Mytilus edulis: one gene and its partner. The protein of the gene in region 1 purifies or fractionates together with the protein of each later gene. This does not show direct contact. Links are inferred from orthologs where the notes say so. Each region holds a gene or a part of one and is shown on either strand. Other genes may lie near its edges.

The links. The genes of interacting proteins can lie anywhere in the genome.
Region 2: the proteins of serine-threonine kinase receptor-associated protein-like (region 1) and U1 small nuclear ribonucleoprotein 70 kDa-like purify together in Homo sapiens (affinity purification with mass spectrometry; 3 studies listed by BioGRID and IntAct, with this or other methods). This does not show direct contact. The link is inferred for Mytilus edulis from reciprocal best matches to the Homo sapiens genes STRAP and SNRNP70.

The regions. Positions count from the first base shown.
Region 1 is NC_092353.1:16,536,087-16,543,451, reverse strand, and holds the start of serine-threonine kinase receptor-associated protein-like, read right to left. Parts: upstream 3,022-7,365; 5' UTR 2,966-3,021; coding exon 2,800-2,965; intron 196-2,799; coding exon 60-195; intron 1-59. UniProt on the Homo sapiens protein: The SMN complex catalyzes the assembly of small nuclear ribonucleoproteins (snRNPs), the building blocks of the spliceosome, and thereby plays an important role in the splicing of cellular pre-mRNAs.
Region 2 is NC_092350.1:51,881,356-51,888,851, forward strand, and holds the start of U1 small nuclear ribonucleoprotein 70 kDa-like, read left to right. Parts: upstream 1-4,427; 5' UTR 4,428-4,834; coding exon 4,835-4,978; intron 4,979-7,069; coding exon of another isoform or gene 7,070-7,494; intron 7,495-7,496. Other genes in the region: potassium voltage-gated channel subfamily A member 1-like, read right to left, coding at 1,632-1,727, 2,308-3,706, 7,070-7,494. UniProt on the Homo sapiens protein: Component of the spliceosomal U1 snRNP, which is essential for recognition of the pre-mRNA 5' splice-site and the subsequent assembly of the spliceosome. SNRNP70 binds to the loop I region of U1-snRNA.

The sequences.
Region 1 (7,365 bases):
ATGAAATGGACTTATATGTTTTAAATTGGTTCAAACTGACTAAATAGCTGAAAACTTACGCAGAAAAGTCAGCAGCTCCTGTTGCTGCCTTTGTGGCCTCTTTGTTTAAAGTGGCTCCCCAAACAGCACCTTTGTGGCCCTCGAAAGTACCAATCCAGTCACCAGTGTCCCCTTGGCGTAACATTGGTTTCCCATCTACAAAATGTAGAACAGAAAATAAACTACATGTATTACTAAATAATTACATCATTATGAAGTTGCAAAGAAGGCCTAGAAGATAAGGGATTTCTTTATTTCAGTTATTGCCAACAAATTCAAATGAAACTTTTCCATAGATTCATATCCTATTGTTCGATCTTTTTAAACTTTTGTCAGTTCTATTGTCCCAATGAATAAATTCAATAGCTATTGTTCTCTGTGTAGACATAAAAGGTATGTTAGCAGGGATCTCCATGGATGAAAATTGAACGATGGAGGAACTTTCACCATGTCAAAATCCCGTGTCTATGGCGTGGTGTTATAGAAAACATTTCATTCCTTTATTTTCATGTAAGGAATAGTAACAGGCTGATATACTGCTTATTTTATTTTTTCAATATAGATGTCCACTGTTAAAGTCAGAAATGGTATCGACGATTTGCATCATAAACTACCAGAAATTTCGCTCTTGTTTTGTAAAACGCTGAAGAAAAGATTTGGAGGGCAAATGATTTTTAATGACTTTGCAACACTTATCTTCCGATTCTGAATTGAAACAGGAAGACCAGATGTATCAATATGATAACTTTTCATGATTGTAAAAGTTCTACGGAATGAATTGGGAATTACGATACAAAATTTCTTAAGATATTATCAAGTTGCAATTAATATTCATGTATTTACCATGTTTACTTTCAAACTTGTAAAGATATTAAATATTATTGTCCTTCCCTACCAAAGGTCCTGAAACTGAATGTATTTTGTCCTAAACGTGTAATTGGGATTTAGGTCAAATTTTATTTTCAACAGAAATAATTTCGGTCATTTCATTGAGATCGAGTTTCAAAATCACCATATTGAACATATTTTTGTTTTGTCATCGATTTTATGTAATTACATTATATTCTGCCACTCCAGTAAAGTGTTATAATCCTGGGGGCCCTTCTAATAACTTCAATGTATATTAATGCCTAAGAGAGCTATTGGCTAATGATTGCTAATCTCTTTACCTGTGTTTTTAATTCACACCTGGCTATTAATCACAAGCCCCCAACTAATATTATAAAGAAATTAAAGTTCCATACCAACTGTCTTCATTATTTAATTACTTTTCAGCTAAGACAATTGTCAATTATGATTTAAAATTAAATTAAAACTTGATTAATTTACGTAGAAAAAAGTGTTTTTTCACTACTAAAACACATGCTTTGTTTACTTTGTAATATGCATGCTTGAAATTCTCTTCAACAGATTAGACACTGAATCGTAAATTTAGAATGATTTCATGCTAAATAAAGCAAGTGCAACTATTTTCAAATTTTTCATTAATATTCTTACTGTTAAAGGTAAAATATTAAAAATCTGATGATTTCCTGTAAATTTGATAAACAAAACTAATCCCAGAAATTAGTCCGGAATTGTTCATTTTAGTATTGTCGAATTACATCAGGTTTGATCGACTTTCACCTTCAAAATAGAAAGAAATGTAAGCGATTACTGAGAAAATTATCGTGTTGAGTCATTAAAATCATTTTATTTTTAAACTGTTGCCTTCCCTTAATTGCTCTTGATCGATTTTAGAAAAATGGTAGAATAAATCATGAAGTAAATGCGATGCGACAGTGAAACAAGTTTGTTGATGCTATGAGTATGAGCATACTCATACAGTAATGAGATTTTGACAATCTTTTTTTTTGAAAAGGGGCACCAACTTTTAAGTTATATGAAAATGACCGAAATTAGGTGAAAAAATTTCCAGATCCATGTTCCCAACGCCTATATCACCGTGCTCTGTCGCTTCGTAATTCTTGTATCAAGGCTTCAAAACGAGACTAGGCATTATCAGCGACATCACAATGTGAGAGAAGTTATCAGCGACCTCACAATGCAAGAGGAGATGTTATCAAGCTTGCTTTTGTCAAGCATAATAATGTCTTAGGAACACGAAGAAGTGGGAAAAGACCAGTATTAATAGAACGATAAACAGATAATCAGGTTTTCTTCGTTTAGATGTTGCAAAATATCAGCCACTTAACACAATGTGTTGCGCTTGCGCAGTGCTCACTCACCAAAAAGGTTCCTATTGTTGCTCGCGGATGATATTTATGATGTCAAAATTATACAGGAACCTGTGTGCTGACCAGTAAAGGCGGACACAAATCAATAAGGGATGGGACCTGGGGGAAAACACGTGTAGAGTCAGTGAACAGACCCAATACCAATACAAATCATCATCCTTCTAATATTTTAGGCACCCCTACTAGCCCTTTAGAGTCAGAATTGAACCCAGGAAATTCAGAATTTTAGCAATAGGTCTTTACCACTAGACCACAAAACCCCAGGGAACTTTTTAGTGACTTTCTTGACATCCTGTTATGTACGACTACGCCATGTACGGGCACTTGTTTCTATCCATTGGAAGAACCACTAAATGTACGTTTATAGTGGGTCTTTCCATGGATAGAAACAAGTGCATGTGGTACGTAAATGTACGTTGATAGTGGGTATTCCCATGGATAGAAACAAGTGCCTGTTGGTACGAACGTATTATACGTATAACATATTTCACAATGTTTTACAATAAATCTTAATGATATATACCTTTACATGCACTGATAAGAAAGTAACCAAATGGAGTGATGTCGCTAAAATCCAAGAAGACGACTGGTCTTGTATGGCCACTACAAGTAAGAGGTGTCTGTCTCATTTGATTTGTCATTTTTCCAGTTTCTTTCCTCGAAATGCACTTCCGGTTGTTATTTATCATAAAAACTAAATCAAGCCGGGTTGGATTCCGATTTACGACACTTAACCTCGGACCATAATAACCATCGATCAGTATTAGGTGTTACATACGAGTCTCTTGTAACACTGCATTTCGCTGGGGTTTTATAAAGCGACGTACCATTTGATATTCCTGGGGAGGGGGTTGGGGGTGGGCAGGAGGATTTGTTTTGGATCGGTTCTTTAGTTTGTAAACTAAGACTGGACAGATTATCTATTTTCTGCACTATTGTGCAAGATTTTTCATTTACATTAACATGATTAAAGCAAGGAACTGATTATTTATTTTCACAACTATATTTATGATATTTGAAAACATACAATTTTTAAACATTTGTTTTATTCAAGTCAAGTCATTATACATGTACCATTTATCAGAATTAATCCGGCATCCTCCTCTGCAGAAACGAACCGTTGGGTTCTTTATTTCCAACTGCATACATACACAGTATTTAAAGTATGGTTGAAACTAAGGTCTTTTAAAAGTATTGGCAAACCTGTCTCGCCGAGCGGAGTGAGGCAAAAAAAAATTTGAAGCGGGGTTTTGGAACTACTGAAGGCCCAAGAATCATGCTTTCTCAGACTGGGTGTTCCCCAGATCCTTTCTTAATCTGAAAATTCAAGTTCTGTTTTAGTAATTTTTTGACAATATGTTGGTCTCAAAGAAGTTTCTAGGGACAACATCAAAATACCAATATGCATGATAAAGCAAAAATGTAATTCACATAGTTAAGTCTGTGGCAGCTGTTTTTTTTTAAACTCATGAAAATCACTAAATTACAAAATAAATGCAAAACTAACAGAATACAGAAGGGCAATTAATGAACAAAAGACAAATAATGATAAGAAACATTGATCCCGAAAAATCAAGGGCTACGTCTGAAGGAGAACAGAACTTGACGCGTTCTTGCAAGGCACTCACGGTGAACACAATTTGATATGGAGACAAGCGTTTGGTTTTGAAATTTCCTACATGAGGCATTTGCCTCAATGTAGTTACGGCCCTGTAATAAAAGTATCAACGTATCAACCCTCAACTAATATAATACCAAAGTACAAGAGCTCAAATCCCTCGAGCAGAGCTCTTGTGGATTTTTTTTGTCTCACATGGATATATGTACCAGAGACATATAAGGAGGGGGTCGGAGGGGTCCTGATCCCGAAATCCCGGGCTTAAAAACATGAAATCCCGAAATTCGAAAAAAGAATTCCCGGATCCCGAAAGGATCAATTCCGAAATTCTGAGCTTAAAAACACACGATCCCGGAGTCCCGATAAAGGTCATCCCCTCACATAATACAAGTTGTTGTTTTTTAAACTCTCTTCAACCTAATGTTTTGGTATGGCTTGTATCCTGGTAAGTGGTCGGACGGTTTTGTAAATTAATAGGCTTAGCGGTTAAAAAATTGTGACTTAACAGACCTGAATAATTATCTCCGGACCGATGATCATCTTATAGTACGTGTTTTATCAAAATTGTCTACATCGATATTAACTGAACGATTACTTAGTTATCCGGAGAATTCGAAGGTACAACTTTAAAGAATATTATAAGCCCGAATGTTCGTTTAGAGGGGCTGAGGGCATTTTCAGAGGTGGTTTGACAATTTCTTGGTAGTGAAACAAGGTGACCGTTATCACATTGATCTGTTGTTTAATTTTTTCGTGAATGACGTTATTCAAAGTATTCCAATGGACAATAATACTGTTTTAATGTAAATGGGGGAAAATAACTAATATTTCTAACAAGACAAAAAATAGTCGTTTTCAGAAATGGTTGGCAACCTGTAATTAACCATTTTTTCTCTGACAACCATGAACAAGACTGAATTGTAAATTCATATGCATATTTAGGCGTATTGCTATATTTCAATTGAAAGTTTTTGCACTCACAGAATAGGATTTATCAGCAAGGAACAAAGGCACTTTCTGCCTTATTCAACACTCTCTATGCGGGTTTATATTGACCGAAGTCAAGCATTTTTGTTTGTTTAACATTATGGTGGCCTCTATACTTAAATATGCGTCTCAAATTTGGGGATTTCATCGAGTCAAAGACCTAGAAGTCGTTCATAATCGTTTCTGTCGTTTTATGTTAAAGCTTGCTAAAAATTTACTTATCACCTTATTTTGTGGTGAACTTGGTAATCTACTTGAAAATATGTTCATTTTTAAGGAAACATAGAATTATAAAATTTTTGTTGCATATATTATATATGATAAACCTAATATTGTATATGATATTTATAGCCTCCCTGTGTATGAATTGACCTAGAGAAAATTAACGCAACATTTAGATATATAAAATGTCGCATTTCGAACGATTGTGAAAACTGTGTTAAATATAGAAAATTGAAAAATAATTTTTGTTAAGGAGATAACTAAAATTTTGAATAGCAATTTACTCACTAAACTACGTATTGGAACATTAAAACTGATTATATAAGATCATACGGCTCGTTTTGACAATATTGTAATAGAACTTTGTATATTTATACGAAATACGAAATATTTTATTAAAGAAAGCTCAATTATGAACATAACCATTAATAGCATAGATACAAAAAAGAAGAAAGAAGAAAGAATTTGTCCTTTGTGCCTCATAGAAGTAGAAGATGAATTTCATTTCACTTTAAAATGTACAAAACTAAATATAATTAGAGACCAACTGTTTTCCAAAATTAGTGAAATAGTTCCCTCTTTTTCAAATAGATAAATAATTTTATTAACCAATCATGGTGCCCAAAATTTGAGCTATACAATCAAATGAATTACAAAATAAAGCACAGAAAATGATTAGAATGATTAAAGTACATTTGAATGAATACACATTTACACTAATTAACCTGATATAAACCAAGTTATTGACAAAAAATAGTTGTTATGGGTGCCACTGTGACCTGGAGAAGTATGACTAATGAAGAAAGATTTAAATTTTTGTATACGTGTGCTGAGACTGATATAATTAGAATTATTGTTAAATTTATAAGCGACATGTACATTTCTAGAAATGCTTTATTAAGCACTAAATAACTTTGTGGTACCACCTCCTCATATAATGTTTGTGAATTTGGTATGATATATAGATGTTTGTATGTTTGTGTATAACAAATTTGTATTGTCTTGGTATCAATCCTGTAATTTTGGATTTTAAAACCAATAAAAATTACTTACTTACTTACTTACAAAGAATAACATCTAAAACTAATACTACACAAGTATCAAGGTATATGTGTTCCAAGGGGAGTAACTCTAGTGTAATATAAGCAGCAAACAAAAATTTTACACTTATATTCTAAGTAAAAAACACATGTTTATGTACTCAGCTATACTTTTACATACATCAGTGTCTTCATTACTTAACAACCACATAAACTGAGAATCAATATTTGTGGAATTAGTAATGTTTTTTTTATAAAACAGTTGTAGATTAACTCCTTCCTTAAATGAGAAAATTTTTCACAACTTTATATGATCTTATATGCTGTCATAATAATTGTATTGAAACTGAGTACCATTTTGTTTTAGTATGCCATGCATTTAGAGCATTGAGGGTAACTATAGTTTTTACCATAAATATACTGGTTCATGGTAAACTATTTATTTACTAAATCGGCTTTACAACACATAGGTACAATGAGTAAATATACTAAATATGAATCACAAGAATTAAAAGCTACGTTGTATTTCTTTTACATGTTAGGCTAGCTCAAAGAATTAAAATATGTGTAATTTCTTAATGCAGCATGTAAGTTAAGATTACAAATTATTATTGCAAGGCATCATAGCAGTTGTAGTTCTGTGCTTGTTATGACCTTATTGTGATGTTCTCTGCATGTCTACTGTCATTATTGTGTCTGTCATTATTATTTGTTCAAATTTTTTTAATGCTATAGCATTATGTTTGCTTCTGAAATAAAATAAATATTCATATTCAATAAAAATTACTATCACTAACTTGAACTAATTAGTATTACAATGCTTTAATCAATATTAATTAGACAGGCTGGTACTTATTATTTAATCTGAAGGGAATAAACAATTATAATAATTAAATCAATTAAGAAATACATCATAATTAATGGAATAGATTTATAGAAGTAATTTTAACAATTAACTAGTTCGAAAAGTAATATTTTCTTACACAAGTCTTACACGAGTATTTATACAAATAGTCTTACTTTCACTGAAAGTTTTACTCACGATTAATGATATATAAATTGCATTTTCTGCAGTAGTGAATATAGTTGAATTTGTTTATACTTTCACAAGTCGTTCATACTAATACGATAACAATGTCTAAATTAGAAATTCTAAGATACCAGCTGTACGATCAGGAGAACTATTATAGGTTATCTTGTTATCAACTATCAGTCCAAAATA
Region 2 (7,496 bases), on another chromosome or scaffold:
CAGTATATACATCAATACAGCTATTATAAAAGTATTGAATTCAAGTGTGACGCTATTAAGAAAGCATTTGAAATAGTTTAAATACAACTAAAGACTAGTTTAAATGTATAAATCAGCATATTTCAACAGTAAAAACGTTATATAAAACTGAATACAATGAAATCAAATGAAATAAATCAACAACTGAAATTGCCATTATATAAGCCGCAGTGACCAAATTGCTGCACATCACATGCTTATACTGACAAGATGGTGATAAATATATCAAGTTTCATGTTCCTCCATCAAGCATTATTAAACTTTGTTAGAGAGTAACTTTGCGAATCTATCATAGAAATTACCATTGTATTGTATTTAGTTTTATATTATATTCAGTTTTAATGTCAATTGTCATCAAATGTATCATGTATTTCAATAAAAAAAATGATATAAATTTACTTATTTAGTCGACATGCTACTAAATTTCTTCATTTGTATGGCCTTAACCTTATTAGTTTCTGATTGACCTTATATCATGTGTTTATATACTGGCTTCAGAAAAGGTCATGAAGGTACTGGAACTTGACTTTCAAAAATAAATCATGTATTAAATGATCACAGATAAGAAAATTTCACTGCAACACCCAAAATAATCTAACTTGCAGTAGAATTTGTTAAAAAAAAAAACTATCAGATTTTCAAGGACCATGGTAGATAGATAGTTTGCTAATACATATCAACCCCTGCACTAATAATGCACTAGGAGTTATTATTTATCATGTTTTATACAAATATACTGGCTTCAGGAAAAGTTCAGACAAATGAAATATATGATGGAACTGTACATTTTAACCAAAATTATCTCTAAGACATGTAAGATAACAAACAAAAAAAATTCACTGCAACACCCAAAATAATCTCTCATTTATTAGAGTTTTGTTTTTAAATGCCCAATTTTTTAGGACTTTGGTAGATATTTTGATATTATCAACCCCTACACTACGAACTACATGTATTATTATAACAGTATTGATTAATAGGTTCTCCCTGTTGTATGTGGGTTAATTAGTTTCTTCATTAGTGATAAATAACCACAATACACAGTCGACTTTAGTTCAGAGCCATAACTGCAGCACCTGTATGTACTGTATGTAATTGATGCACATTATATACATGTACAAATATTTTGTGATAATTATAAGCATATTCATGAAATATATGTAGTAATAATTCTATGTAATGATTCTGAACTACCTTACAGTAAAGTGTATAGATGTAGAAATAAATAAATAATATAACTATGATAACAGATTTAAAAGTGTTAAAGTGATGATCAAATTATATTGCTAATAGATTTTTGTTTTGTCGGCTCATAAATGAAAGTGGAATGTAAAAGTTTCTCAAAACTACACCAATAAAAAATCATAGGCAGTTTCATGGTCCTCTAATTTAAAGACAAAGCAGCAACTACAATGTATCTATGGTTACTCTGCAAGCGGTTCAAACATTTTGGCAATTCTGTTTTCTTCAAATATTACCCTTTTCATATATATATTCCTCCATTTTTTCTTCTGTTTGTGATTTTTTATTAATTGTCTAATAAAAGTATAATCATCTTACCTTTGTCAGCATTATGTCCACCAGTTTGAGCTTCAATCATTTCTGTCTGAGTCTCTTTCTTTGTTTCTGTCAGCCATTCCATCATCTTTCTCGACAACTTCCGTGTTTTGGTTCACTTCTAACAACCACTTATAATAGAATGAAAGTTAATTTGGAAATTCTTCATTAGTTAGCACAAATCTTCATTTATAATCACAGAAGTAGAATAAATCCATGACCATCTATAGAATAATCAGAATTGGAAATGTAAAGTTTTTTATCACTGAATTTTGTATCCTAGCCCTCACTATTTTTGAATATCTTCATATAAATAAACACTGATCCTTGTTACATGTATTTGATGTATACCTTTTCGTGTGTATTAACGCTATGATTTCTGGTTTTAGTTGTGTTATAATGGAAAGCTGTCATGAATCCATCTAGTATGAAAGGTGTTCATAATTCCAAAGATAAAAATACAAATTGCAGGTGCTTTAATGATTGGTGCAAAGATGAAAGACTTTTGGAGTTGAGAAATTCAAAATGAATCTTAATAAATATTATAGGATATAATATAATAAAATGCAAGGAAAGTGTTAACTTCAGTCAAAACACAGTTAAATTCCCAGTTACAAACAACTTGATGAGTAAAAAGTTCTAATGTTGTAACAGTTTTTGTCATACATCAGTCTCAATGCTTAAGTTATTCATACTAGAAGGGTTGTTTACCTTGTTTGTGTGGTTTTCTTTCGATCTGTCACTATTCACATTAATAAAACTACTGCCTTCCTCCATTTCCATAATATTTTCTGAACCGCTAGAAGCAATTGAACTTTTCTTGCTATTTGAGTAGTTTGGACAACTTTGTACATGATGGTAGTTCGTTTTATCATCATTCTCTGCCTCTCTATGATAAAAGTAGTTGAAGTTTGAAACAATCACAGGCACGGGTAATGCAATTGTTAGTACACCAGCGATGGCACATAATGAACCTACAAGCTTTCCCCAAACTCCTATCGGTCGCATGTCACCGTAGCCGACGGTTGTCATAGTTACAACCGCCCACCAGAAGGCATCAGGTATACTATGGAAATGCGTACTTTCTGCATCTGCCTCTGCAAAATACACTGCACTAGAAAACAATATAACTCCAATGAAGAGGAAGAAAATGAGCAATCCCAATTCTCGCATACTGGCTCTTAAAGTCTGTCCTAATATTTGTAGTCCCTTTGAATGTCTTGATAATTTAAATATCCTAAACACTCGTACTAATCTTATCACTCTAAGGATAGCAAGAGACATGGCCTGGTTGTTCGATTTACCTTCATCGGCAATTACGGTACCTAGAGTGATAAAATATGGAATGATTGCCACAATATCTATAAGATTCATTACATTTTTAAAGAATCCTAATTTTCCAGGACAGGAAGCATATCTAACTAAAAGCTCAAAAGTGAACCAAATAATGCAGCAGGTTTCTATAATGAAAAAAGGTTCATTAAACTGAGGAATATCATCTTCCTCAATCGATGGTGTTGTGGAATTGCCAGTTTCACTAGTTTTGTTCAAATATCGATACTTTTTGAATTCTGGTAATGTTTCTAAGCAAAAGATCACAATTGACATTAAAATAACAACCACTGAGAATATTGCAATTAGCCTGGCTGAAGTTGAACTTTCTGGATATTCAAACAACAGCCAAACTCGTCTCTGGAATATATTTGTAGGTAATGGTTTTTCTTCTTCCTTGATAAATCCTTCATCCTCCCTATACTTTTGAATAGCATCATCTCCTAGTTCATAAAATTTAATTTCCTCTGAGAAAACATCTAATGGAACATTAACTGGCCTTCTTAAACGCCCACCACTTTGGTAATAATATAACACTGCATCAAAACTTGGTCGGTTCCGATCAAAAAAGTATTCATTTCTTAGTGGATCATAGTATCTATTTCGTTTCTGTGGATTCCCTAGTAATGTCTCTGGGAATTGGTTTAAAGTCCGTAATTGTGTTTCAAATCGTAGACCACTTACATTGATTACCACTCGTTCACTGCACTCATAGTCACTACCTGCCATATCACTGGGCCCCATACCATCGACATCATCGGTTGGCTTTGGATAAGACCTGGAATTGGGAAGAACATGATTTTGACGCTGGTAATTACAATTAGGCCCACCATTACCTTGTTCTAAGCTCATCATAGCCACCTCCATTTTGCATATAAATGTAAGCCCTACTTACAACATTTAGTTTTGTTCATGTCATCTTTTCATGAATAAATATATTCCAGTTATTAAAATCACAAATTAATTTTCCTATTTGTAAGCTGTTTAATCATTTCCATTGTGTGCTATAGAACAGTTGTTAAAGCAATTTTTAATTTCTTGACTCAATGCCAAAGCCTATTTTGTACAGTTCTAAACTAGTCTAAGTTGTCAAAAAGAAAACTGTGTTAAGATTGTGATCACCTTTGCAAATGTTATAATCATAAAATTCACTTTGACTGTAAATCATTGGCACTGATGTCAAAGCATAATTTCTTAAACACACTTTCTTAAAAGTACATGTTCTTTCCAAACTAAGATTATCGTCTGCATAAAACAATCTCAAGTCAATGTCACTTTTTCACTGTCCATTTTGCACTTTTTTCATAGTTTGTTGCATGTAATTAAGCGTTGCTGTTTTATAAACATGATGAGTAGGGTTCAATAAATTAACAAACCATTTCTCATGCAAAAATTTCACCCTGAATCGCTACAATTTACTGTTGATCTTACGTTGACATGAACCCATTGAGTATATGATAGAGAGTTGAGACTTTGATCGATTAACCAATCAGAAACCCGTTTACAAACAACTTTGGTTATCGACTAACAGGTGCTTTATGCAGTGAATATTAAATTACCATTAACAGTTTATTCTTCCTATGGCACAAAGCATATAAAGTCAATCAGCTTTGACATTCTAGAATACTACATATTTCTTCTCTTGATAAGAAAACTTACGTTAAAATATTAATTCACTGCGAGGATAATACTTCACCTTATTCCCTGTGGTACGTCATTTATCGGCACAGTACAAAGCAACGAAGAACAGACGTCTCAATCGAGTTATTTAGGGACGTGGTAAATTGCATGTGTTGGTCAGAGAAGACAAATTGGCGTTTTACATTTACCGCTGTGTATTTGAATGAGGGTCGATAGAGGCTGTTGAACATTTTAAAGACAAGTTACTGAGAGATACTTGAACAAAATGACTGCTTTCTTACCTCCAAACTTGCTGGCTCTTTTTGCTGCCAGGGATCCTGTCCCATACTTACCACCGGCGGACAAATTGGGTTTCGAAAAGAAGAGGTTAAGTTATGGTGGAGTTGCACAGTTTCTTAATGAGTTTGAGGTAAAATCTAAATATAATTAAGTACAATAGATAATGTTTTAAATAGATAAACAAACTTACAATGTTTCCAAAATGGCTGACACTAAAGTTGCCATTGTTTACTAATTCTGCTTTAGAAAGTATAAGATATGTCCAGTTTTGGTTCGTAACCCCAGTCCATCGTTAGCTCTTTGATAATTGTGTGTATTAAGAAGTCAATTCTTGTAGTTTCAATCACGATTTCCCCCAAAAAGCACAGTAATGACAATTGCAGATGAAGGCATTGTTAAGAAAATCATTCTTAAATAATTCCTTTTGATACCAAATGTAAATAAACACACATGTGCATCTTAAAGCCTTTCCATTGAATCTGAATCAATTGGTGGAGCTTAGGCAGTTCATTATGAATAATTCACACATCAATGTGTTAACATAATTTAATCCATGACACACATACAAGCGTCAAAGACTTACAAATCAAGTTACACATATGAAGCCAGATTCTGAAATGCAATTAAGCCATTCATGTCACCAATGGCAACTGAATTTTTCATATAATTCCAAAAATAGATAATTTCCTTAAAGATAATCCAAGTTTACTTTACATTACACAAATTGGAAAAAATCCTTTCAATCAATGAATTGGCCTCCATAACTTAAATCGAGAATAAGCTACACTAGTGTCACAAAATAGATGGAAATTGATTTCTGAAAAGCAGGATGATTTTAGATGTGTAATCCAATACTAGCGTTTACCTGTACTAAAGCTAGGTGTAATAAGCTAAATAGTTACACAGTGTACAGAAATCATAGGAAAGTGGATTCTGCGATAGAAATCCAGCTCTTACTTGTTTAGATACTAGGAGCAAATTGTAAACAATGATCAGTGGATAAAACAGTGTATTGATTGGGAAAGTGTAGAGGGTGATGTACAAACATCAGTTGTTAATTATCTAGATACACAAAACCACCTCTAATATATGACATAAGTAAACAAAGTTATAATGGAAACAGGCACCTATCCATCATTGTCCATTAATATTATATTTTTGGCCAGAGAAAGAAATTAGTACATTCATCTCTAGGTCTCAACTTCATTTATAGGTCTCAATTTCTTCTTTCTTTTTTTTTTTTTATATCTATGTTTTTTTTAATTAATCCTGATTTTTTGTTTACAAAATATCATATTTGAAAATTATGTATTATTTTATTAATTTGAATTGACAAATGATTTGGATATATATGTGGCTACTTATTGATGTTACTGATGCCCTATCTCAAATAACAAGCAAAATGTGACAAATGTTGAATATTGATTATATATTGACAATTAACTTTCTAGAAAGATACAACATATTGTTGAATGAGATTAGACTTGTGTATTACAATTTACATATGGCATTATTTTTTATAAAAAAAAGATTGGACTTGTATATTATATGGTACATGTATTATTTGTTAAAAAAAAAAGGATCGGATTTGTGTATTGTACATGTTAATGTATATGACCATTATGGTATTATCCCTAACAATATACACACATTAAATATTTTGTAGTTGTATTTAGTAAAAATAGAATTGGGGTAACAAAAATTCAGTGCTGCAACCCAACAACAAAAATGAACTAAAATAGCCATATTTAAATGGAGAGATCTGCACACAAGTCAAGTTAAAAAATTTGAAAGACTGTTTTAAATTTTGTGTTTAAAACAGAATTGAGTTACAGCCACGAAATTTTTGAATTTAGTTGTTAAAGCAAAATACAAAGGCCTTGGAATGTTTAGGTTTTAATTATTAAAGAAAAGTACAGAGTAAATTTTTTACTAATCACAGGTAATCTTGGTAGTATGAGAATATGTTCCAATTATGATGCCTTCTCTCCCCCCCCCCCCAAAAAAAAATCAAAAATATATCGAGTGTTTTTAACAAATTGTTATCAGGTTTAATCTGTAAAAATATAACATAAACTATCATACTTAGTTTTACATTATGTAATTGTACATATATTAAACTACATGTATCATATATTGAATTTCCTGTGACACATTTCCTTAGGTATAAAGTTACAATGTTAAGTCTCAGATGTTTATATATACATGTAAATAGACTTACTTGTTATTTTGTATTTTTTCCAGTAAAGGAACTGTTGTCTCATCCTTTGTGTCTGACCATTCATCCTTGTGACATTTATTCACTGGAACATTTTCTAAGTTGTTACTTGCAGGATCGCAGTTAATATATTGTAATGAGTCTTGATATGGTGGAGGATTTGAATCGGGAGAAGATATCGGTGGTGTTGTTATTTGTTCCTGTTGATTGTTTTGGTCTTTGTATTTGTCACTGTTTTTTTGCTGCATCTTGAATATGTTTGGAAGACATGCTGACTTAGTTTCCTCGCCTGTACCCTGACCGCCTTTCGACGAATCTGACACAGAGCATGACCTGCCACTATTTGGTGCCGATTTGCTTCGCCTTATTCTTTTGGCAGCCTGTTGTCTTTCTATCCTTTGAGATTCTACAGCATCTAGATCTTTAGGCT